Linked DNA regions of Drosophila melanogaster. The protein of the gene in region 1 interacts with the protein of each later gene in a biochemical or structural test. Each region holds a gene or a part of one and is shown on either strand. Other genes may lie near its edges.

Region 1 (11,453 bases):
CCTGACGACGGACTCCGTCAAGATGGACTTCAACGTGAAGGAGATCCAAATGGGTGTGGACAACATCGCCAATGGCAACACAGTGATACGTACGTAGTAGTAGTCGAAATACTATGTTTTGTATTGTTATCGTCACATAGTACTGTCCTCCACAGAGGCTGCTCTCAATCTGTTCATCAACTCCAACTCCCAGGAGCTGCTCAAGGAAATGAAGCCGGCGCTCAGGACCAAACTCACTCTGGTCATCCGCAACTTCATGGATCGCATATTCGCCAAGATTCCGCTGGACGAGTGGATCAACCTGAATTAGAATGTAGTTTCTCTAGTCTAAGACCTTATTTATTGCACACAGTTCCGCGAAATATACCAAGTAAATCGACGATGGCTCTTACTTTGAATGGCTCATTCGGCCCATCAATACTGCAATGACAGGGGGATACGAGTTATTATAATGTGCACCTTAACTGCCTTCGCATGCTTAGGCTTTCAACGCTAGTTCAAGGTCTTTGAATGATTGAATGAGGAATCTTGGTAAAAGATTCGAATGAAACAGGATGTGGTCTTGATGGTTTTAAATGCCTGTTACTTGAGGAGTAACTATGTTGTATTAGCATACATGGGATATGGTTTAGCTTACTAGTATTTGTCTGCACGTCAAATGTTATCATTCTTTAAAAAGTGGAAAAAAAACATGCCTCCATCCCTTGATGGTCGAGGTACTCAGGTGCTCACAACTGAACAGTGGTGGACATAATTACATTATAACTTCCTTTTCAATATTTTATGTTCCCGTCTTTAAGCAATCTCCTTGCCTCTGGCTAACCACGAATGTATTCTCAATATTCCTCCTTTTGGATATAAGTGTTATGCAAACGGCTTAACACACACTCCCCCTCGATTATCCATCAAAACGCCTACACGTGCGCGATGAATACCCAAATGCCCGGCAGAACAAATCTCTATGCCCAACGCGAAGCTTACCACATCCGATTGAATAATAAACTATGAATGAGTAACAAACATCTCAGCACTCCTCACTTATCTAACGCAGCTACGAGTATCACTGGGATGAGGCTGGAAGATGATCTTTGGCTGGCTACCGAGTTGCGTGCTCTTCGCCAATTTTGCACCGCAATCAGCATCCTCATCGAACCGTGTCATAGGCAACCAGCCACAGCTTTCTGAATCTTCGCTGATCTGAAGACAGGGAAAGCTTTTCGCCCGGCGATCGCCATTATGCAATCCGTCAGCACAATTTTCAGAGTTAACAGGTTGTCAACACACGACTCCCCATCTAAGATGTTCGCGTGGCGTAATTACGCCGGGCACGGTAGCGACTAGAACGATCTTCCTGGCCCCGTGCCTGCCCCTGGTTTTGGTGGGGAGCTTAACAACCGCACGTTCTGACCCTCGCTAACTACCGACCCCACACTCGGAAGAAAACCCCTTTGAAAAGGTCGAGAGTTTTGTTTAGTTCGGCCTCATATGCTGCATTCAACACATGTGTATGCTCCGCTCTGCCAGGCAAGCTTAAGTTGCATGTAGGAGTAGTATGAAGGCTGAAGCCCTCATTTGGCCAGTACCCATTTCGAATCGAAATACGTTGGAGGAGCCTAAAGAAGTTGAATACATTCTCAGAAGACTCAGTTATTCATAGCGTCATAGTACGAAGTAGCGACTTGCACCCTCAATTTCCCAGTGCCGATTCTGGGAGATCCACTTCGGGTCTCAATTTCCGGTTTGACCTGCGGTCTGCATTTTCCCGACCAACTGGCAATTTTCCCGCTCGACTGACTCCGTAAGCGTTTGTGCTTGGGTTGGTCGCCGAAATACGGTAATGGAACCCACAACCTTTATTACAATTATTAAATAGTAGCTGCTTAGCGTCTTGCTCGCCCTCAGTAGCTCTCTCTCTCTCTCTCTCCCTCTCGCTCTCAGCTGTCCATCTCTTTCTAGTTGCTCGAGCTTACCAGGCGATTTCTGGGGGAGGGGGCGTGGCAGGGGCGTGCGAGTTCTACGTCGTGTGTTTTGGAGTCCACAGCTTGCCCAAGCTCTCATGTAAATCGTAGCGTCAGTTTTGCTATAAAACACGCCGGTCTTAACAATTTAGCATTCAGTACGATCCGTTGGCGGTTACTAAAACAACACCTGACTTCGACAGCTCGAGAACGTTGAGAAGCCTTCGACTATTTGGAAAAAGATAACAAATCGGTGCCAAAACAAATAATTGCGAATACAATTGAAAACTCTTCTAAATTGTGTAATTTTAAGTTTTTGTGTAAGTCGGCTGGCGAATCCTCTAGATCTCGGGAACGCGAAATCATCCCTTGTCCCTAATTGGGTAAACCATTTAGCAAATCCTTTAAGGATTGAGTCTAAACCGAATTTAATTTGAATACATTTTTTTTACATGTTTTTTATTTACGACAAAAATTGTTTTCCTTTAGTTATCAACTCGTTGTTCCGTTCTTAATTTACAATAATTCCTTACACATAGGTGTCTATTTTAGTTTTAATTTATTCAAGGAACCCAGATCGAGCAATTAAAAATGTTTTCATTAGAGCAAATTGACCCAGTTTATTGTATTATTGTGCTTTACCAAATGCATTCCAGTTCAATACCTAAAGTACTCCTTTGCATTATTTATAACCAGCCCTACGCTCGATCGCAAAGACTATTAAGCCGCAATCAAAATCAATTACAGTCTTGACAACAAAACAGGTAGCAAATGACAGTAATTGAGCAGTCTAGAGATCCTCCCATTTATTAGACTGAGTCGCAGCTGCGTAATGCCTACAATCAACCACTTCGGATGATAATAGATACTCGTATGGGTGGTGGATCATTTTAGGGGTGGGCCTGGTGGTTAATGCTGCCCCTGCTGACGAACTTTGACGTCAATAAAATGTATATTTCTGCCTAATAGTAAATAAACTGTTTTTTACAGAAACCAATTGAAACTTACACGCAAAATGCAGTTCCAACTCATCGTAGCCTCCCTGTTGATCTGTTTTGTAGCATGCATCTCAGCTGGCAATATGCGTAAGTAACGAAGACAGTTCACTATAGTCCAGTATACTTATCAAGCTTGTTCTTCAGCTGACTATATCCAGGTGTGCCATCGCAACGATCCCGAACTGTCGAAGTGCCTGAAGAGCAGTGTTCACAACTTGCGACCCTATCTGGCCAAGGGCATTAAGGAACTGAACGTACCGCCGCTAGAGCCCCTCTACATTGGAGATCTGAGCATTCTGGATGGATCCGCCGGGCTCACGGTAAAAGCCAAGAAGCTGAACATCCTGGGCGCCTCCAACTTTGAGATCACCAAGCTGCGGGCTTCCACCCAAAACCGACGCTTTGACTTCGAGTTGATTCTGCCCCATCTCCATGGCGATGGGCTCTACGAGATCAACGGCAATATTTTGGCACTGCCGATCAAGGGCAATGGGCCGTTCACTGGAAACTTCACCAACTTTGTGGCTTATGTGCGCGTCCAGTACGACATTAAGAGTGTTAATGATCTGGAATACCTGCATGTCAAGGAGTTCGTCCTGAAGATCCGCACTGGCAAGGGAAACCTGAAGCTGGAGAACCTCTTCAACGGAGACAAGGTTCTGGGCGATGTCATCAATGATACGATCAACCAAAACTTCGAGGTCTTCACCAACGACTTGATCGCACCGATTGCCCGCGCCCTGGAGGCCAAGTTTCTGGTCATCACGACCAAAATCCTTGAGAACTTCACCTACAGCGAGCTTTTCCCCGTCTAATAATCTTGCTAACTGTAGTTAGGCTAAATCTAAGCTTGTGATACACTCGATTTGTTATAATTAGTCCCTAAATATTCAATAATAAATTTTAGAAATTTACGCAAATAGATTTGAAATTGAATGCGTCAAAGGAAATTATGTCTTGATTATCGTTGTTGGGAGAGTTTCCCGACTACCAGATACCCGTTTCTTAGTATCAACGGGAGCAGCTAAGCTGCTTGGCCACAAGCCGCCCATAACTATTACGATTTTGAAAAACGTTTGGATTATTTCTTTATTATATGTATGTATGTAAGTCTTGCAGATTTGTATCGGTATGCCGCGCCCACAATAAAATTTTTGGCCGATTTGGTCAAGAGTCGCTTTCCGGCTTCTAAATCTTCATCTCCTCGCAATCCAAGTTGGATTAACGGGTATCTGATAGTCAAGCTTTATCTTGCTTTTCTTAGATATCATAACTTTGGTACAAAACTGGTGTTTTGATTTTCATTTCATTTTTAGTAGTTTCAGTTTATAAATATTATTGGAACTACCATAAAATTATGTTTGCTTATACTAATATTTAATATGATAAAACGTAACTAGCTTTTTTAGCAAGGACGAAAGAAAGGGAGACATTCAATAGAATTCTTATTTTTCTTGAGTCACCTGTTTTAGAGGAATACCTCTTGTTTTTGCCATGTCGCTCAATTGTAAAATTTTTCTGCAATCGGACCCAGGTTGTCTAAAGTTCAAATTAATTTTGGTTTACAAATACTTCGATCAGTTTTCTGCAGTGTTAAACTTACACTTCGAAAACTCCTATTCGTAAAAAACATCAATAGGAAACGTATTTTGAATGGTCTGGCAACCTCTGGCAACTCATATTTACGCTCAATGCTGGCTGGGTGGCAGCTCTGTGCAACGAAATTGATTTGAGCTCCAGCTCTACGTGATAGTATCGGGGAAACATCGGTTTTCGTTCCAGCTCTATACCACTGCTGCCCGAGTTTGCCCTCAATTAAAAATAAATTACAAAATTTCATCGTTACCGTTCGCTAAACGCAACGCATTGCCCAGGCGTCCGAGTTCCAAATCCAACACAACACGAGTGGTAGTATCGCTGTGAAAAATGTCAACACCCGCACGCAGACGTCTTATGAGAGATTTTAAAAGGTGAGAAGAAACTAAGGAATCGAATGCGAATAGAAAAGAATACAAACAAAACGAAAGCAAAGGAAAACAGGAAGGCAAGGAGCGAATGGCAAAGTACACACAACCGTTGGATTTTACGTTTTACGTGTTTCTCGTTCCGAAAAAATGCTGGGGAAAAGAAACCTGGGGGCTGCCCAATACATATAAGCAAACACACGGACACACGTATATATGACTGTGCTCCACGTCTGTATGTAGTGGAAAAGTTTGCGCAGCCAAAATATGTACGTGTGCATGTGCCCATGCTCGTGTGCGTGTGCGTGTGTGAGTGGTTGATTATTTTCGCTGCTTTGCTCGTGCGAAAAACAACAATTCGCTTGTCTTTGACACTTGACTTTGATCTGAATGTGTGTGTGTTCGCGCGCGGTGCGGGGTAAAAGCAAGAAAACAAAGGGGAAAATTGGGAAAACCAAACAACATTCTTCTTCCGCCGTTGCCGAAATTGCGTCGCAGCAAAACATTAACGTTTCTATCCGCCTGACTCGGCAGCTGCATCCTGCCCGCTACCCCCTCTCGCTCGCACTCAGCCTTGTTGACTCACGCGAAAGAGACGAAGCGCTCCTATTGGAATTTCATTCGGCTTCGAAACTTTCATCATCCCGAAAGTTGGCGCTGCAGTGCAGATTGCAGTTGAGGAATACGAAACCAAATGTCAAGGCTGTTTGCGTGGGCGCGGGCTCCTGCCCCCCGGCAAAGTTCCAATGTACCACCCCAAGAGGCAGAGCAACTGCACAGAAGCATATCTGACAGCATACATCAGATACCCCTTACTCAGCTAGAACGAGTTCGAAGTGGAAATTTCGAAACTAAAATAAAAAATAACATCGTCAATTTTATACTTTGTGGGGTCCGAATCTAGTATAGTTATTGAGTACTCGGGACTGATTAGTTTGAGAAACACAAATTCTGTTTTGCGAAAATGTTTCATCAGGAATGCAATATTCAAATCGTAATGCGAATCGAAACTGACTCCATTTTAGAAGTCTAGTTTTTGATAAGAGTTCATTAGAAAATACCTGTTACACATCATTGGATACCTATAAATAAATTATGAACATTTTCAACAAGTTATTTTAATAGCTCGTATTACCGCCCAAAATTGACCTTTCAAGTTCATAAATTTCAAAATATGCTTCAGACTTGGATATTGCATATCTTATTTCCCAGTGCACTGTCGCGTTTCTTAGCTTGTTTAATCGATGATTTCACTTGGCCCGTGTATCGATTTAAGCCGATTGAAGGGCGCGGTTAACCGGGTTGCGCCGCCCGCTAGCTGACCTAAATCGCAGCCAATCCCGGCCAGGTAACTTTTAGATTGTTTTTCATCACTCTATGTCTGACCGTTGCTTTTGGTTTCTTCTGTGTTGCGGAATATGTATACAAATAGGCAGAATTTGGTGTCCACGGGACCGTCAACTCTTGCGACGATTAAAGACTTACGTTTCAAGCACATTGTTCGTAAGATCATTAACTAAAGACAATTACAACAAGAAGATAAAAAATAATTATTAGCTTTACATTGCAACCTAGTCGGCAAATGTTAAGGTAGAGTTTTTTATTTTCGCCTCAATTGGAATTTATACAATAAATAGTATATTTGTGTAAACAAATATGCATTAACTTATTTATTTACAACACTTTAATTTGATACTTACCTGCAGACTTCAAGAGGATCCACCTACGGGTGTCTCGGGTGCTCCAACAGATAATAATATTATGATATGGAATGCTGTGATTTTTGGTCCACACGACACACCCTTCGAAGACGGAACATTTAAGTTAACCATAGAATTTACGGAAGAGTACCCAAACAAACCGCCAACGGTTCGATTTGTATCGAAAGTATTTCATCCCAATGTATACGCAGATGGTGGAATATGCTTGGACATATTGCAGAACCGCTGGAGTCCCACGTACGATGTGTCAGCCATATTAACATCCATACAGGTGAGTTACTCTGCTTCTGGATCCAGTAGCTATAGCTTAATGTGTATGCTTCTGATTTCCAGTCACTGCTGAGCGATCCCAATCCCAACTCACCGGCTAACTCCACCGCCGCCCAGCTGTATAAAGAAAATCGGCGCGAGTACGAGAAGCGTGTGAAAGCCTGCGTTGAGCAGAGTTTCATCGATTAGCCATGCGCCCACTTTAGGAACAGCAGCAGCATCAGGAGCCGGAGCCACAAAACGAGCGGCAGCAGTTTAGTAGGCGACCGCAGCTTAAAGCATCAGCAAACTACAGTAACAGAAATATGCAATACCATAAAGAAGTTTAAATTAAATAATAACAGAAATATTTATGATAATTGTAATGCTATGAAATTGTAACACCGCCAACGGCACGGCACAGCAGCATATATACACCCTGCGCACACAATTCGCAACCCATAAATACTGGGCAGTTTTGAGTTATATTTGTTTGGCCAATAGTTACACCTTGTCCCCAGCCCGATCACCCGATCCCGAAGGCAGACGCAATTCACTTAAAAAATTAGGAAGTCCTCTATGGATGCAGCCGCTAGTTGCGCCGGCAGCCAGAAATAAGACTCTTATAAGCTAAAAACTCAAATGTTCTAATTTAAAAAAGCAGCGGCAATAATGTTTAATAATAAAACAAAAATTATAAAAACCATTTCAAGCGATTGCAATGTCAAATAGTTTCATTTTAGATGCGCGCAAACCCAGTCCTGTAAAACTAAACTCAACCAATGCCTAAACGAAAATTAATATTTGTAGTAGTTCGTGGCTCAGCAAACACGTACACAAGAAACATACATTTTGAATCCGCTTGAAAACCTAGTAAACAATTGTCCAGTGTCGTCATTTATGTGAACTATATGTATCTACCAAACCCCAACATAAACATACACATGCTACCTAGATCGAATTATAAGTTTATTGGCTACAAATTGTGAAATTACTAGAAATTGATAATTAAATGTTAGTTTTTAGCAATGTAAACCAATCCACACGGTATGTGACATGGTACAAGTCTCCAAGTTGGGAACAAGCAAGCAAATATATATGCATGTATTCCTCGGTAGCTTCCATTGACCAATGCTCTATGTATTTTGCCCGATAATTTTGGTGGCTGACCGACGCTTTACTTTTACCCTATCTCTAAGATCTTATCCTTGGCCTCATTCAAGTTTACACCCTGATTTGGTCAGCTATGATGGCCCAAGAAGAGATTTGAGCGGGGTCTTTTTTCAGTGTAAAGTGGGATGAAAACATCTCCTAACTGCCATTTGCCACGCTATGTACTCTCTAGGTTCCACTGTGTCTTGGCTGCGGCAATTGATTTAGTTAGTTCTTAAGCGTTTACAATCGACTTTTATTCATGTTTTTTGTTGAATGCGAATTGCTGTACCTTTTGCTATAAACCCTCCACTTTTTGGCACTTTGTGTTGGATGCTCTGAGCATCATGTTAACCATATATATGATAAAATTACCATATAGCAGCATATTGTTTTATTAACTATGAACCAACTAAAGCAGAGGAGACAGTAACCCAATTCAATTCACAGTAATAGTAAATCAAAGAATGAGGATTAGCAACCGATTCAGACAATGTGGAATTTCAAATTACCTTACTGTAATTAACATTATTATTATTAATAAAGTTAAGATTTCCAATATCAATAAATGAAAGTAACACGAGTACACCTTGTTTAAATTAAATTTTAACGGAACTATTTTATACTCCCCTTACAACATGTCGAGTTGGAGCTAAAATGGTTGCTCCAAATCAATTGTCCAAAAGTCAATTGTAATTAGGAGGAAAGTGACAGTGCTGCCAAGAAAATGTCAACTATAGTGTGCTCCTAAATTCGTACCAACCAATTAAAAAGAAGCATTACGACATCATCATCCGTCACGCAGGTAGTGGGAGTGCATGGGCAGATTTTAAAATTCTTCCGAAAAATAAGAAAACAAAATAAAATCAAACCGTTATTTATAAATTGTGCGCCTTAAATTCCATTGAATTATAATTCTCCAAGTTTATGATAATACAACAGGACTTATTTTCAATAATACTGTGTATAAATAAATTTATATATTCAGAGTAAAAGCTCAACAACTAATTTTATAAAAGATTTGGTGAACAGGCACGGTTTCAAAGTCAGAGTACAGGACCAAGTTACATATTCACTTCAGCGAATTGATTTTAGTTTGTGTTAAAATTGCTTTACATCTGACTGCAGTCAAACACACTAGAAAAGTCAGTGTTGGGATTTTGTTCATACCCACCACAATAATTCCCAACTAGTTCTAGTTGCGCCCTCATGGAAATTCCTATGCCGAGCTAAGCAAAGCATACTTACCTGGCGTAGAGGTTAACCGTGATCACGAAGGCGGTTCCTCCGGAGTGAGGCTTGGCCATTGTACCTCGGCTGAGTTGACCTCTGCGATTATTCCTAATGTGAATAACTCGTGCGTGTAATTTTTGTTAGCCGGGAATGGCGTTCGCGCCGTCCCGACATTCGTAAATAAATATGTACATATGCAAAGATAACTGTTTTAATCAGGCGTTTAGGGTAGTTGAAAACACGAAGTTTGTGACTATTCTCGATTTTTACAATTATTTTAATTCGTTTTTATACCCATTACTCGTAGAGTGAAAATGGAGGAAGCGTTTCCGACTATATCATCAAGTAAGTCCAGCCATATCAGTCTGCCCGTATAAACGTCGAGATCTCAGGAACTATAAAAGCTAGAAGGTTGAGATTCAGCATACAGATTCTAGAGACAAAGACGCAGCGCAAGTTTGTTGACCCATGTTGCCACGCCTACAAAATTGCCACGCCCACACTTTTAAAAAACGTATTGATATTTTTTCACATTTGTATTAGTCTTGTAAATTTCTATTGATTTGCTAAAAAGCTGTTTTGGTTTGTCAGATAGTAGAATTATAATTTTAAAAATATGTGGAAGTTGTCCTCGACTACCCCGAACGTTGGATAACCCGATGTCATGAGGCATAATTTGGTTAAGATATTTTCGAATTTATCAGATTTATGGTGTATATGACATCTGTGCATAATAAAGCGATACTTTCCGGGTTTTTTTTTTAATTCTTTTAAAACTCTGTTATTGAATTCATCCAAATCGTCCATAATTAGTCGTTGGCGAACACTCATCAAAGCCAGTCCATTAAGACGACTTTCTACCATTGTTCTTCGCAGCCAAGTCCTTATACGTCTTGAGCTGCTAAATGACCTCTCAACTGAACAAGTTCTACACGGTAAAGCGATTAACATCTTCAGAACTCTTTGAATATCGGGATTTAATTCATTTGCGTGCTGAATCGTATCAAGAACAGTCATTTCAGATACATTTGTTTCCTTATATTTTGAAGGCTGGGTAAATCGTAAAACTACTTTTGATAAGTGAGTCTGCTGACATTATTTGCATTTTTGCCGGATGTAAATAGAATAAAAAAAATGATACATTATTCTCATCGGAAAACCGATTATCTAGTGAGCTAATAATTGATTCCAAGTAAGAAATAAACAATGACCTCCTCCAATACTCTGAGCTTTTTTCAGCTGGACGGTTTTTTCGGTGACATTGCTTGCCAAATATACGAGAAAGTGATGTTATATCCTCCTCCAACACAATTGTCTCTGCAACGACTGTTGCATCTCTTAATACTTCATCCGTTATACTATCAGGATCATCTCGATGGCTTCTTAACAGTTGTATTATGCGTTTAATGTGCTGATAGGCCTTGACCGCATCCAAAGTAGTTGATTAAAGCACGTTGACTACCGGCTCCAGCATCGCCGAGTATTTCGCATTTATCGTGAGACGCATAATAAATGCTATTCTGAAGGCAGCGCTAAAAAGTAAGAAGGCATACTAATTGTATAAACGTTTTTTTTTTTTTTCTCTTAGTACTTCACCACAAAGGCTGATGATTTCATTTTGAATTTCAACTGATCGATAGCTTGCATTTCCTTTTCCATGCTCCATATGCTTTTTTAAAACATTGTCTCCAGCGTCGATTTTAAGCTTGAATAAGTCCTCTACAATTCCATCACCGTAGTGATTTTCTCGGGATCCGCAAAACACAATATAGGAAATAATAGATGTTATTATCTTTCTATTTTCCTGAATAACGTTTTGGTATTTATTTATTTGTGCGTCCACAAGCACATTTTCTAGAAATAATCTAGCAGCTTCTTGTGCCGCCTTATGAAAGTGGCTTTCCATGTGTTTTTTGCTATGTTCGTGGAAATATTTAAACTTGGAAAATGACTTTTGACAACAAAAGAACCCAATACTCCGTGAAATGAATTTAGATTTGGCGGAAAAAAAGGCGCCATATCCGCAAAAGGCACCTTTTTGGCAACGTGAATATACCAACAATAAAAGATTTAAGAACTTTGTAAAATCAATCCCGATATAGTAAAATAATAGCGCCAAAACACAAAAATTGATTTCTGAGGTTAACTCATACCCACGGCATGAACCATTTAACAGGA
Region 2 (12,291 bases), about 18 Mb from region 1:
GCCTCTTATCGAATGCTTATAAAACTTTATAGTCACTGTTTCTGCAGGTCCCTCAAAAACAGTTTCTACTGCTGATAAGAAGTTTTCGAAGTCTGGGGAGTATTCGGCATTGGAAAGGCCAAAAGTTGTGTTTTATTATATTTTGAACATATTAAACAGGATACATAAAACGAGAGTTTTAGATTGTAATTACATTTGTCATATCTTTTGCTAAATTGATAAGTAAACAGAAAATATGACTCGATGGATATTATTGACTAATAATATATATTTAGGGGTTTGGTATGATTACTTTGTACTGTGAGATACAAGTTCGTTTGTCCCACAGATACTTTTCAATTCATAGCTTATCCTACAGATACATTTCAATTCATAGCTTATCCCGTAGATACATTTCCATTCATTGCTTATCCCACAGATACATTTTAGCATATTTTTTTTGAAATTTGAATTTGAAAAAAAAGTGTTTTTTTTTTTTTTGTTTTGAGAACTACTCGTCTTGTCAAAATATTTAACTGTTCCCGACTGAAGTGCCCACCTTTTCGGCCGCCGGGTTCTCAAGTGCAAAAATAATGTATAATAAAAAGCCAAGATACGTCGGCGGTCCGCTCTCGCCCCACTTGTTGTTGCTGCTGCCGCTGGTGCGTCGCTGCCGCTGCCGCAGTCGACGTCGACTCCATCGCTCCAATATTTAAACGGATCCATTGGATCGCGCACTCAGTCGCACTGGAGAGTCGCCATCGCAGCCATCATCATAGCATTCCATTCCACTTGTAGCCATCGGCAGTCGCTCAATCGTCAGTTGGGACACATTATTTAACTTCATTCTTAACGTGAGTGAATTGATGTGTTGGGTGGCGATCATGCATATAGCATAGGCAAACAACTGTTCTAATCCGCATTATCTTAATCACAATAATCCGGCGGCTTATACAGATGTTTTGCGTTAGCAGTTGGCGGCTAAAAGCCTCTGCTTGCCCACATGCCAGTGAAAGTTCTAATCCGGCTCAAACAGACGCACAACAAGCGTATCTCGTGCGTGGAATCATGAATGAATAAATGGGTGTTACTGTTAACTAACAATGGACCTTTTTACCAATCAATCGTCTTATCTATCACCAGAATTGAAACAGAATTAGTGAATAACTTATGGTGCATATCAGTTGAAACATGAAGATTCGTGTGAACGATCGTGAAAGATATGGTGTTCGAACTTTAAATTACCCTTGTAGTTTACCACTCTCATTAGTTTTGATTTATGTAGAACCAAAATTTGGATCGTGACTTGCGATTAGTATTGCAATCGCAGTGCATTGCCCAATCTATTGATTATCTGCAACTTGTGGCAGACTGCCGCAATAATTCGACGGACACTATCAGCTAGCTCCATTGATTGAGATAAGCCCGTTCTCACGCGGTGTTTTACACTTCTTGGCAATCGCCAAGTCACGGCCCTCGCCATATAAAAAATATAGTATGAACAATCGGGAATCTTTTGGTTTTACGATCGACCGACAAAGCCCATGTATTTCCTGTTACGTCCATTTGGGCCATATAGGCACATAAAATGGGTGCTCCAACGCTTGCCGTGGGAAAGTGTGCTCCAATTGCAAAGTTGTAACATTGAGCGACATTTGATGAAGGTTACCGACTTTTATCTCGACAAAAACACACACGAATTCCAGATGAAGCGAGCGTGCGTAGTTTGCACTGCAAGTTTTTTTTTTGGAACAAATAGTTTTATGTTTATATCATTTTATATCATATTATATTCCTTATTGATTGAGTGTCTGCACGGGTCATTAAATTAAGAAGCAAAAAAAAAAAAGGTGTCAGGAATTGCATTCCATACTCCTACGAGTAGATATCAATTTCACCCGATCGTGGTCAATTGGTCAATTGAAGTAATTCACAATTGAATCAATACAATACCATATAGGGCTTCATTGAAGAAGATGCCAGCAGGACTGGATGCTCATGCATGAATAAGTTGAACGTTGAACGCAAGCAGAATGGATTTCAGCACACACCGCCTGACCACTTTGCTGCTCCTCCTCCTGGCCACAGGTGAGATATCGCAATCCAGATATTGCGATCTAATAATGAGGGAATTTCTCCTGCCCACAGTTGCCCTGGGAAATGCCCAAAGCAGTCAGCTCACCGTCGATTCCCATGACATCACCGTTCTGCTGAACAGCAACGAGACTTTTCTGGTGTTCGCCAAGTGAGTTGCCATTGCCGGGAAATCCAAATCCAAAACATATGGCATCGTAAATCTATTGTGCCCATTACAGCGGATTGCTAGACAGCGACGTGGAAGTTGCGCTGGGAACAGATTCGGAGGATCATTTGCTCCTCGATCCCGCAACGTTTGTGTATCCAGCGGGCAGTACTCGAAATCAGTCGGTGGTGATAACTGGCCTCAAAGCCGGCAACGTCAAAGTGGTCGCAGATAGCGATGATGCGAACAAAGAGATGTGAGTAACTTCACGGGAATCCCAACTGTTCCCGTACCTAATTGGAAAATTCACTTATTTTCCAGTGTGAAGGATGTGTTCGTACGCGTGACTGTGGCCAAATCGAGAGCTTTGATCTACACCTCCATCATCTTTGGCTGGGTTTACTTTGTGGCCTGGTCGGTGTCCTTCTATCCGCAGATCTGGAGCAACTATCGCCGCAAGTCCGTCGAGGGACTGAACTTTGATTTCCTGGCCCTCAATATCGTGGGCTTCACCCTGTACAGCATGTTCAACTGCGGCCTCTATTTCATCGAGGATCTGCAGAACGAGTACGAGGTGCGATATCCGCTGGGAGTGAATCCTGTGATGCTCAACGACGTGGTCTTCTCACTGCATGCCATGTTCGCCACCTGCATTACGATCCTTCAGTGCTTTTTCTATCAGGTAATAATATATATAGCAAATACCATTCAATAGCCTTATCGCCGAAGTGGCAACAGTTGTCGCATTGAACACTAATTGCCATCAATCAAAATGCCAAATCATTTGAATCACAGCGGATAGTTACGATATGAAGAGTAGATAAGGTTTTGACTTGTAAAACATCCATACTTTGTTAAATTTGTCCAGAGAGCACAGCAAAGGGTGTCGTTCATTGCCTACGGAATATTGGCCATCTTCGCCGTGGTGGTCGTCGTGTCTGCCGGTTTGGCCGGAGGATCCGTCATCCATTGGCTGGACTTTCTGTACTACTGCAGTTACGTCAAGCTAACCATTACCATCATCAAGTACGTGCCGCAAGCTCTGATGAACTATCGCCGGAAGAGCACCTCCGGCTGGAGCATCGGCAACATTCTGCTGGATTTCACGGGAGGAACGCTGAGCATGCTGCAAATGATTCTGAATGCTCATAATTACGGTAGGATATAGTCTATCAATTTGTGATTTTCGAATGAAATCGTGTCTGGTTTCCAGATGATTGGGTGTCGATTTTCGGTGATCCCACCAAATTCGGACTGGGTCTGTTTTCCGTGCTCTTCGATGTGTTCTTCATGCTGCAGCACTATGTGTTTTACAGGTGATTGAAACATTGTGTGAATATGATACTTAATCTACGATTATGTCATCTCCACTGTACACTTATCATTATTGCTGTGCTGTTTTCCATTTCTCCCCAGGCATTCGAGGGAATCCTCGAGCTCTGACCTCACCACCGTGACCGATGTTCAAAATCGAACAAATGAGTCGCCGCCGCCGAGCGAAGTGACGACTGAGAAATATTAGAGCTGCATTATCATATGTCTGCTGTAGAGAAAGACTTTTGTGCCAGTAGCGCTTTATGTACATTTTTAGAATTGTAAATATATCCGTATGCCGTAGCTGCCTAAGCTTTGTATAATTCGTGCGTTTTAATTGAAATTTAGTTTGACTAAAATTTGGAATTTCACCATTAAATAAAACTTAATTTTTTGTAGGAGCCAGAAATCATACGGTACATTGCTCGACCATTCAAAGGGCTGTGCAGTGAAACCAATTTGCTGCATACGGCGCGTTATTTGCAAACTAATAAATAGATTGAAGTATTGAAAAAATTTCAAAACAGAAATTCTAACTTGCCGCACAATGGGCAGCACTGTTCGCACTCGGCCAAATCCTTATCGATAGCTTATCGATAGCCATGGATATATGACATTAAGTTAGCCAATTTCCGGTTAGTTGACATCCCTGGAGCACGGAAGATTCTTGCGGACACAAATCGCAACTGCTAAATAAAATTTATTTATTTGAGTGCACAGCCATGAGTCTTCACAAGTCCGCGTCGTTTAGCTTGACTTTTAACCAGTGAGCGGAGATATTTTATTCGGTCTTACCCAACAAAATAATGTTGCGCCTTTTTGCAGAAACACTTCGATTGTTTCGCGTAGCAATAGTCGCACAATTTTTGAAGCTTTCAAGGAGTTCCTGGATTTTTGGGATATCGGCAACGAAGTTTCTGCAGAGTCAGCAGTTCGGGTCTCCAGCAACGGAGCTTTCAACTTGCCGCAGAGTTTTGGCAACGAATCCAACGAATATGCCCACCTGGCTACGCCTGTGGATCCAGCCTACGGAGGCAACAACACGAACAACATGATGCAGTTCACGAACAATCTGGAAATTTTGGCCAACAATAATTCCGATGGCAATAACAAAATTAATGCATGCAACAAATTCGTCTGCCACAAGGGGTGAGCAAATTCAAAACACGCGCTCCAATCGATAAACATTGGCTACGGCGATTGTTCGCGCTGCGTGGCGAATGGCAAAATCCAAATAGTCGGTGGCCACTACGATTCTGTAGTTTTTTGTTAGCGAATTTTTAATATTTAGCCTCCTTCCCCAACAAGATCGCTTGATCAGATATAGCCGACTAAGATGTATATATCACAGCCAATGTCGTGGCACAAAGAAAGGTACAGTGCGGCAACAAATTGATGATCGAACAGTAGAAACCTTGCATGTAGCAACACGCTTGTACTTGCATCATTCGCGCGGCCAACTTGTTTGTGTTTGTTTATCCAGCCAAGGCGCAGTTTGCCACTAAGTTTTTATTTCCCTTTTACACTTTAGCACTGATTCCGAGGATGACTCCACGGAGGTCGATATCAAGGAGGATATTCCGAAAACGGTGGAGGTATCGGGATCGGAATTGTGAGTACCTGGTCACGTGGTCACATGTGGTTTGCCTGGTTGCTAACTATTATTGTTTTTATTATTCCAGGACCACGGAACCCATGGCCTTCTTGCAGGGATTAAACGTGAGTTGTGCTTTTAATGTGCAAAGCTATAGCTTACTAACTATTTAATATTATTCCCCGCAGTCCGGGAATCTGATGCAGTTCAGCCAGGTGGGTAACATCGATTAGCTATTGCATCTTGAAGCGCTGGGACAGATCGGCCTGCACGAGGATCAGCAGGAAGCTGGCCACCGCCGAGAAGACATTGCTGATCAGTCGCATGTCCAGCTCGTACAAGCCCAAGGGTTTAATTTGGTACTTGGTCACCGTGACCAGCAGAGTAAAGCCGTGGACTGCCTGACGGTAGCGGCTGTCCGCATGCTGGAGATTCATCTCCTGGAGAATGACTGCCGATCTTCGGGTGGCCACCAATAGGTGGTTGCACAAATGCGTGAGCAATGTGATCTCCGCCAGCGAGATGGAGAGGAAAACCAGATTGATCAGCGATCCAAGACCATCGTACGGCTTGCCCATGATTAAGGTGTCCGCTATGGCATAGTACAGACTGTAGAAACCCACCGTTATTCCGAGCAGGTGGCATATGAGCGACAGAATCATGGACAAGGACATTGGGGTCAGATACTTTCCCGAATGCACATATATCAACCTATAGCGATACGCCAGCTGGTCGAGTTCATCCGCCAAGGCGCAAAATCGCTGCATGCGGTAGTATTTAGTGTACAACTTTAGCTGGTCCTTCCTCTGCAGCAGATTCACCTCCTGCAGCTGCGCTTCCAGCCGTCTGTTCAGAGCGTACAGAATCTCCTTCACCACCACCATTGCGCCAAAGTAGCAGTTATTGAGAAAATTCGAAATAATTAAGGGAAACAGCCGGTACAAGGTCCAGATCAAGCTCATCTCGGGATGCTGCCGCCTCTGTTGCAGTATGAAAGCCACTTCAATTGTTAGAGGAAAAGCCACGGTCTTGACCAGAGCCAAAACGATGGATATGTACAGCGACCTGCTGTCCAGACGGAATTCTTTTAGGGTATCAAAGAAGGGCACTTTGCTCAACACCTTGGCCACATGGTCACTGATTATCATTTGCGACACATAGTTAATAACAGCCACCGTAATGTTCATATAGCTGTACAGAGTGGTGGCGTCCTTCAGGTTGATCTGACCCTCCTGGTACTCCTTGTAGATTTGCCGCCCGTAAACCAAGCTGAATGCAATTGCCCACAGCGAAGCAAAGGCCAGATTTGCCTTTGAGAAGCGGAATCTTTCACGACGGCCCGCCCGATATCGATTGGCCAGGAGTCCGAAGACGGTCATAAAGCCTATCAGTATGATCGTCAGAAATTTCACCATACGCCGATGCGCGTAGTCGCTGGTGAAGTCCATTTCTCTCGAACAATTAATACAAACTGTGAGCGCACTTTCCACAGCATTAATATCTGCTTAATTGTTTTCCAACTACCCAACTGATGCCATCTAGAGGACCTGTCAAGTAGCCGGACACTATCGGGACACATCGCGAAACGCATGTATTTCACCGGCCGTCCAGAAACCAACTGAGCATGCGTTGTGCTACTACTAGCCACAAACAAAAGAGCATAAGAAGCGTGAGGGAAGCGGCATTCCTTGCGTGACTCAGCCGCTGCCTGCAATTTCATAAGAGCGACATGACGTCAAAGTCGCTTCGAAGTTCACTTTCAGTTGGAGGACAGAACAAAACACTCTTATCTAGCCGATTAGCACGGTGCACTCCTTCCCGTCGTCATCGTTTAGCGAGAATTTCAAGCACTTGTGAAAAATAGAATAGAATACAAAACAAATCGCCAGTCCATTTGTAACTCGAGCAAGCTGGAACATGAAGCTCTATCAGCTCTATGAGCGCAAAGTGTGAACCCTTATATGATTGCGAGTTAAGTTGACATTCAAATAATATCTTGTTTTTGCTTACAGCAATCCGTGCTGCGCGAAATGATGCTGCAGGACATTCAGATCCAGGCGAACACGCTGCCCAAGCTAGAGAATCACAACATCGGTGGTTATTGCTTCAGCATGGTTCTGGATGAGCCGCCCAAGTCTCTTTGGATGTACTCGATTCCGCTGAACAAGCTCTACATCCGGATGAACAAGGCCTTCAACGTGGACGTTCAGTTCAAGTCTAAAATGCCCATCCAACCACTTAATTTGCGTGTGTTCCTTTGCTTCTCCAATGATGTGAGTGCTCCCGTGGTCCGCTGTCAAAATCACCTTAGCGTTGAGCCTTGTAAGTGAAGATAACAATACAGATCGAACAGGATTATTTAACTATCATTTGTACAAACCTTTAGTGACGGCCAATAACGCAAAAATGCGCGAGAGCTTGCTGCGCAGCGAGAATCCCAACAGTGTATATTGTGGAAATGCTCAGGGCAAGGGAATTTCCGAGCGTTTTTCCGTTGTAGTCCCCCTGAACATGAGCCGGTCTGTAACCCGCAGTGGGCTCACGCGCCAGACCCTGGCCTTCAAGTTCGTCTGCCAAAACTCGTGTATCGGGCGAAAAGAAACTTCCTTAGTCTTCTGCCTGGAGAAAGCATGGTAAGGTGACAGCAAAACTCTAGATGGCTAGAACAAAGCTTAACGTGTTTTCTTTCTTGCAGCGGCGATATCGTGGGACAGCATGTTATACATGTTAAAATATGTACGTGCCCCAAGCGGGATCGCATCCAAGACGAACGCCAGCTCAATAGCAAGAAGCGCAAGTCCGTGCCGGAAGCCGCCGAAGAAGATGAGCCGTCCAAGGTGCGTCGGTGCATTGCTATAAAGACGGAGGACACGGAGAGCAATGATAGCCGAGACTGCGACGACTCCGCCGCAGAGTGGAACGTGTCGCGGACACCGGATGGCGATTACCGTCTGGCTATTACGTGCCCCAATAAGGAATGGCTGCTGCAGAGCATCGAGGGCATGATTAAGGAGGCGGCGGCTGAAGTCCTGCGCAATCCCAACCAAGAGAATCTACGTCGCCATGCCAACAAATTGCTGAGCCTTAAGAGTAAGCAGTGAATCGGAGGACAAAGAGATTAAGCTTTACTTACCGAACTTTCCTTTCAGAACGTGCCTACGAGCTGCCATGACTTCTGATCTGGTCGACAATCTCCCAGGTATCAGATACCTTTGAAATGTGTTGCATCTGTGGGGTATACTACATAGCTATTAGTATCTTAAGTTTGTATTAGTCCTTGTTCGTAAGGCGTTTAACGGTGATATTCCCCTTTTGGCATGTTCGATGGCCGAAAAGAAAACATTTTTATATTTTTGATAGTATACTGTTGTTAACTGCAGTTCTATGTGACTACGTAACTTTTGTCTACCACAACAAACATACTCTGTACAAAAAAGCCAAAAGTGAATTTATTAAAGAGTTGTCATATTTTGCAAACATATCCTCGTGGTGTACGCCAATGCCCAGAGCCTACTGTACCCCCACCGTGGAGCACATGCTATGTGACATGTGTGGCTTGTGTGCGGTCAATGCACTCAGGATGCAACTCAGCTAGCTAGCTGCTAATATGTCAAAATTGCTGCGTCGCATTTACATACTTTATTTATACCCGTATCTGCACGTCTTTGGTTTTAGTTCTATGCTTTCAAAAAAAAAAAAACAACCTCAAGCAGGGCGCATGCGTTGCGCCAGCGTTGCACATGTGCGAGGATGCAAAAAAGTGCAACAAACACCAGATGTTGACACTGTGCCGCTGCAGCTGCAGGCGACTTTAGCTTTTGCCACATGCGGCAGCTAAATGTTTACTCTAGCCCACCGATCGCTGTTCATTGACCTAGGGCAGGGGCATTAAGTGCGCCCTAATCGTAACGGAATGATAGCCTCTGTGTCCAAAAATTCAGCCAAAGCGGATGCACTCACTTCCATTTGGGGCCTGTCCTTCTTCGACCGGCTGCCACTTCCACTACCAGTTTGGCACCACGAAAATGGGTCGTTCAAAGTGCTCAAAACCCAGCGGAGCAACTCACTCAATTCTCGTTGGACGAGCGCACAGAAAAGTGGTTTTGGATACGAGTTGAGTTCGAGAGACCTTTCTGCACTGGGAACATACATGCGGCTTTGTGTAACAGAATAATAAAGTACGCAAACATATCTGTAATACTTAAAGCACAAAGAACAAATATAAATGTATCATAATTTGTTTAATTATTTATTCGAGGTTTCCAAACAAGTCATTCTGATAACAAAAGTTGTAAAAATAAAATCCACTAAAATTAAATATCACCCACTTCTCAGAATAAGCACAGCTGTATATACTTCAGTATATATTTTTTTCAGTGCACTTTTCCCAAGCGATGCAATCGCCTTAGAAGCCCAATTAAATACGTTTCTTTGATTGGCGGGTGCCAAAAGGTTGACAATTCGAAAGTGGCGCACACTGGGAGGCAGTGACTCATAATTTACATAATTATTTCGGGAAGATATTAAGACTCATACTATATTCAAGCAGTTGTTTATCATTTTAAACTGGCAGATACCCCATCTTTACGGACCAGATAAAGGGAAAGCAAACACGGCTGGGCTCTTATCGGCTACGATCTTCATCCGCAGTTCCCACTGTGCGCGTGGGGAAAACAATATGGCCCAAACACATAAAAAACAACAAAAAAAGGAAACAACCACAGAAAGCCGGGCTAAGACGTCAGGTGAAACGCAGTAGCTTCACTCGCGACTCGGCGCTTCCACTCAAAGGTGCTACCGCTGCCCACTCAAATCTGCAGCTCGTAGATACGAAAACCAGATAGCGTCGAGCGGCTGGCGATCTTCACTCAATGGGGGGAAATACTGCTATAGAGTCGAAAGCTTGTACACGTAGTTTGGCATTCGCAGTCGCTTGTTGGCGTTTTTAGTCTGCTGCCTGATCTTCGACGCGCTGCAGCTGTTTTGGAGTCGCCGCGAGTGCCATATTTGCTTTGACCGCGAAAATTTCTGGGCTAAAAACAGAGATATTTGAGATACAGATACATATATCTCATATCACATATTAGCCAATTGTGGGTGCAACAAGCTGTGAGTGATGGTGGAGACGGCAACGACAACGACCATAACCCGCACCACCACCGCCGTTCCGGCTGGTGCAGTAACGGTAACAGGACCCACTGCCTCGGCCACGCCCACCGCGACACAGGCGGCCGCGCAGGCGCATCGCAACGATGAGACCACCCGGGCCATCTTCAATCTGAAAGTCATCGTCTTTCTGCTCCTCCTGCCTCTGGTCCTGCTGGCCGTCTTTCTCAAGCACCTGTTGGATTACCTATTCGCGCTGGGACTCAAGGAGAAGGATGTCAGTGGCAAGGTGGCACTGGTGAGTTGCATTCGAGTGCCCATTGGGGCTAACAAATGGCTGCAATGAGCGTCTGGCAAATGAGCCATTAATAAGGCTAGTCAGATGCACATCAGACATGGATGCACTTAGAAAATGCAGTCGCATTTCATGTTAAGTACTGACATTAAAAAAGAGATATATGTCTGTGTTTAGATACATCTTTGGGTACCAAATTAGGTTCAGATACTTCGTAAAGAAATTGGTAATGGTATACTTTAATCGTTGGCTTCATGTGAATTTGTTTTCCCAGTATCCGCTTCTAAGTGATCTTGTATCTGACGACTACTTAGCCAACCAGAAACGTCACGCACTTTCCTTTTCCAGTGGCTGCCTCCGGGTTTCCACCACGCCCACCTTTGGCTCACCCACCTTTTCCCCTTTCCCGCTTTTCTTTGCTTTTTATTTCTCCTCTTTTTTTTTTTTTTGATGTCACTGCCATTAGGGTGCGGTCGATCGCTTAGTACTGTGTTATTAATGTAAATATTTATGCGTTTGGTGCCCAGCTTGGTTAGTTGTTGGCCAATTGTTTAGTTGTGTCCACAGAGCCGCGTCTTTGGTGCCACGGACAGTTAATGTGACATAATTTCGCTGTAAGCGCTGCAATCAAAGTGAATCTCCAGCTGAAATCGTGCTCATGGCAACCATATCGCGCTCCAATAATCACATATGCATCTTGGGGCGTCGAATTATGGAGAAGTCAATTGCCAATGGGCGCCAATGCCACTGGACAAGGTCAAGTGATGATGCCGCTGCCGATGCTCCATATCGTAAAGAACCTGATCGAATTCGGAACCCATTAGCATGCTTTTCAGGCTTTTTATAGTGGGCGTGTGCCGGCCATAAGCGTCTCACGTAGCGTATTAATGATTCACAGCGGCCCGACTTTTGTTTTAGTCTCAGCTTTTTTTTTCGATCGTTCCCTCAGATATCGTTTTCTCAGATACAGATACACATACAGATACATTTTTGTTGCGGTTGCACAGTGGTATTTTCGGGTGGCAGGGACTGGAGAATTCCCATGCCAACTGTTAGCAGCAACTTAATTATAAGATTGACTTTCGTTGATAAGTTCTATTGACATCATGGTTGCGGAATTCGAGTTATTTCAGCTCAAAAATACCCCCTTTTTCGACACCACTGGCCAACGGCCAACTGCAAACTGGTTTTGCGTGTGTCGCTATATTTATTTCCAAGATGAACGAAAAGAGCGCAAAAATGCAAACCTCAGAAAGTTCACTTTTGTTTTCAGTCTAATGTTTGTGTTTACAAACAATAGAGTGTAGAATTTCGATGGGCCAAAGTATCTGCAAGTGTGTAGCATGCCGGGTATCTCTCAGATGCGTAGATAAAACTCAACTACTGTTGCCGCTGTTAATTTGCATATGATATTGAAATTCTTCGGCTGTTCTATAATCACAACAACTGCGCATTTGTTATTGTTTTCCCCATTGCTAGTCGCTAACGTGCCAAACTCTGAATTGAACTCATTCCGGCTTACATTTCGATTCACCCAACTACCGCACACCCAAAACGGCGGCTGAGGTCACCCAGTGGGCTTCAATTACGGTCAAAAGTCACTCAATTGTGCCCCAGAGGGTCGGCCCACCGAGCGTATGAGTAATGCCATTCATAAGTCGCCTCTGCCGCTGTTGCTGCTGCTCACATAATTGTCCGTAAATGAGGTTTTTGTTCAATGCGAAGTCACATTAGCTCGAGTTGATTGTTTGCAAATTAAGC

Evidence for each region.
Region 2: the proteins of Ubc6 (region 1) and p53 form a complex in vitro, tested with the Drosophila melanogaster proteins (one study listed by BioGRID).

Annotation. Positions count from the first base shown.
Region 1 is NT_033777.3:4,945,926-4,957,378, reverse strand, and holds Ubc6 (ubiquitin conjugating enzyme 6), read left to right. Parts: upstream 1-4,696; 5' UTR 4,697-4,882; coding exon 4,883-4,926; intron 4,927-6,626; coding exon 6,627-6,912; intron 6,913-6,974; coding exon 6,975-7,100; 3' UTR 7,101-8,624; downstream 8,625-11,453. Other genes in the region: Jhbp2 (juvenile hormone binding protein 2), read left to right, coding at 1-89, 141-310; Jhbp3 (juvenile hormone binding protein 3), read left to right, coding at 2,974-3,043, 3,101-3,771. UniProt on the Drosophila melanogaster protein: E2 ubiquitin-conjugating enzyme that accepts ubiquitin from the ubiquitin-activating enzyme E1 and transfers it to a E3 ubiquitin-protein ligase. Required for postreplication repair of UV-damaged DNA.
Region 2 is NT_033777.3:23,045,975-23,058,265, reverse strand, and holds p53 (p53), read left to right. Parts: upstream 1-4,183; 5' UTR 4,184-4,257; coding exon 4,258-4,301; exon of another isoform or gene 4,302-4,360; coding exon 4,361-4,684; exon of another isoform or gene 4,685-4,871; coding exon of another isoform or gene 4,872-4,909; exon of another isoform or gene 4,910-5,066; coding exon 5,067-5,147; exon of another isoform or gene 5,148-5,217; coding exon 5,218-5,254; exon of another isoform or gene 5,255-5,317; coding exon 5,318-5,344; exon of another isoform or gene 5,345-5,350; intron 5,351-5,362; coding exon of another isoform or gene 5,363-6,577; intron 6,578-7,035; exon of another isoform or gene 7,036-7,046; coding exon of another isoform or gene 7,047-7,076; intron 7,077-7,141; coding exon 7,142-7,451; intron 7,452-7,515; coding exon 7,516-7,762; intron 7,763-7,824; coding exon 7,825-8,219; intron 8,220-8,278; coding exon 8,279-8,301; 3' UTR 8,302-8,609; downstream 8,610-12,291. Other genes in the region: Ctns (cystinosin), read left to right, coding at 2,013-2,067, 2,128-2,224, 2,295-2,477, 2,543-2,903, 3,090-3,378, 3,435-3,537, 3,638-3,743; Gr94a (gustatory receptor 94a), read right to left, coding at 5,363-6,577; CG17121 (uncharacterized protein), read left to right, coding at 10,246-10,533.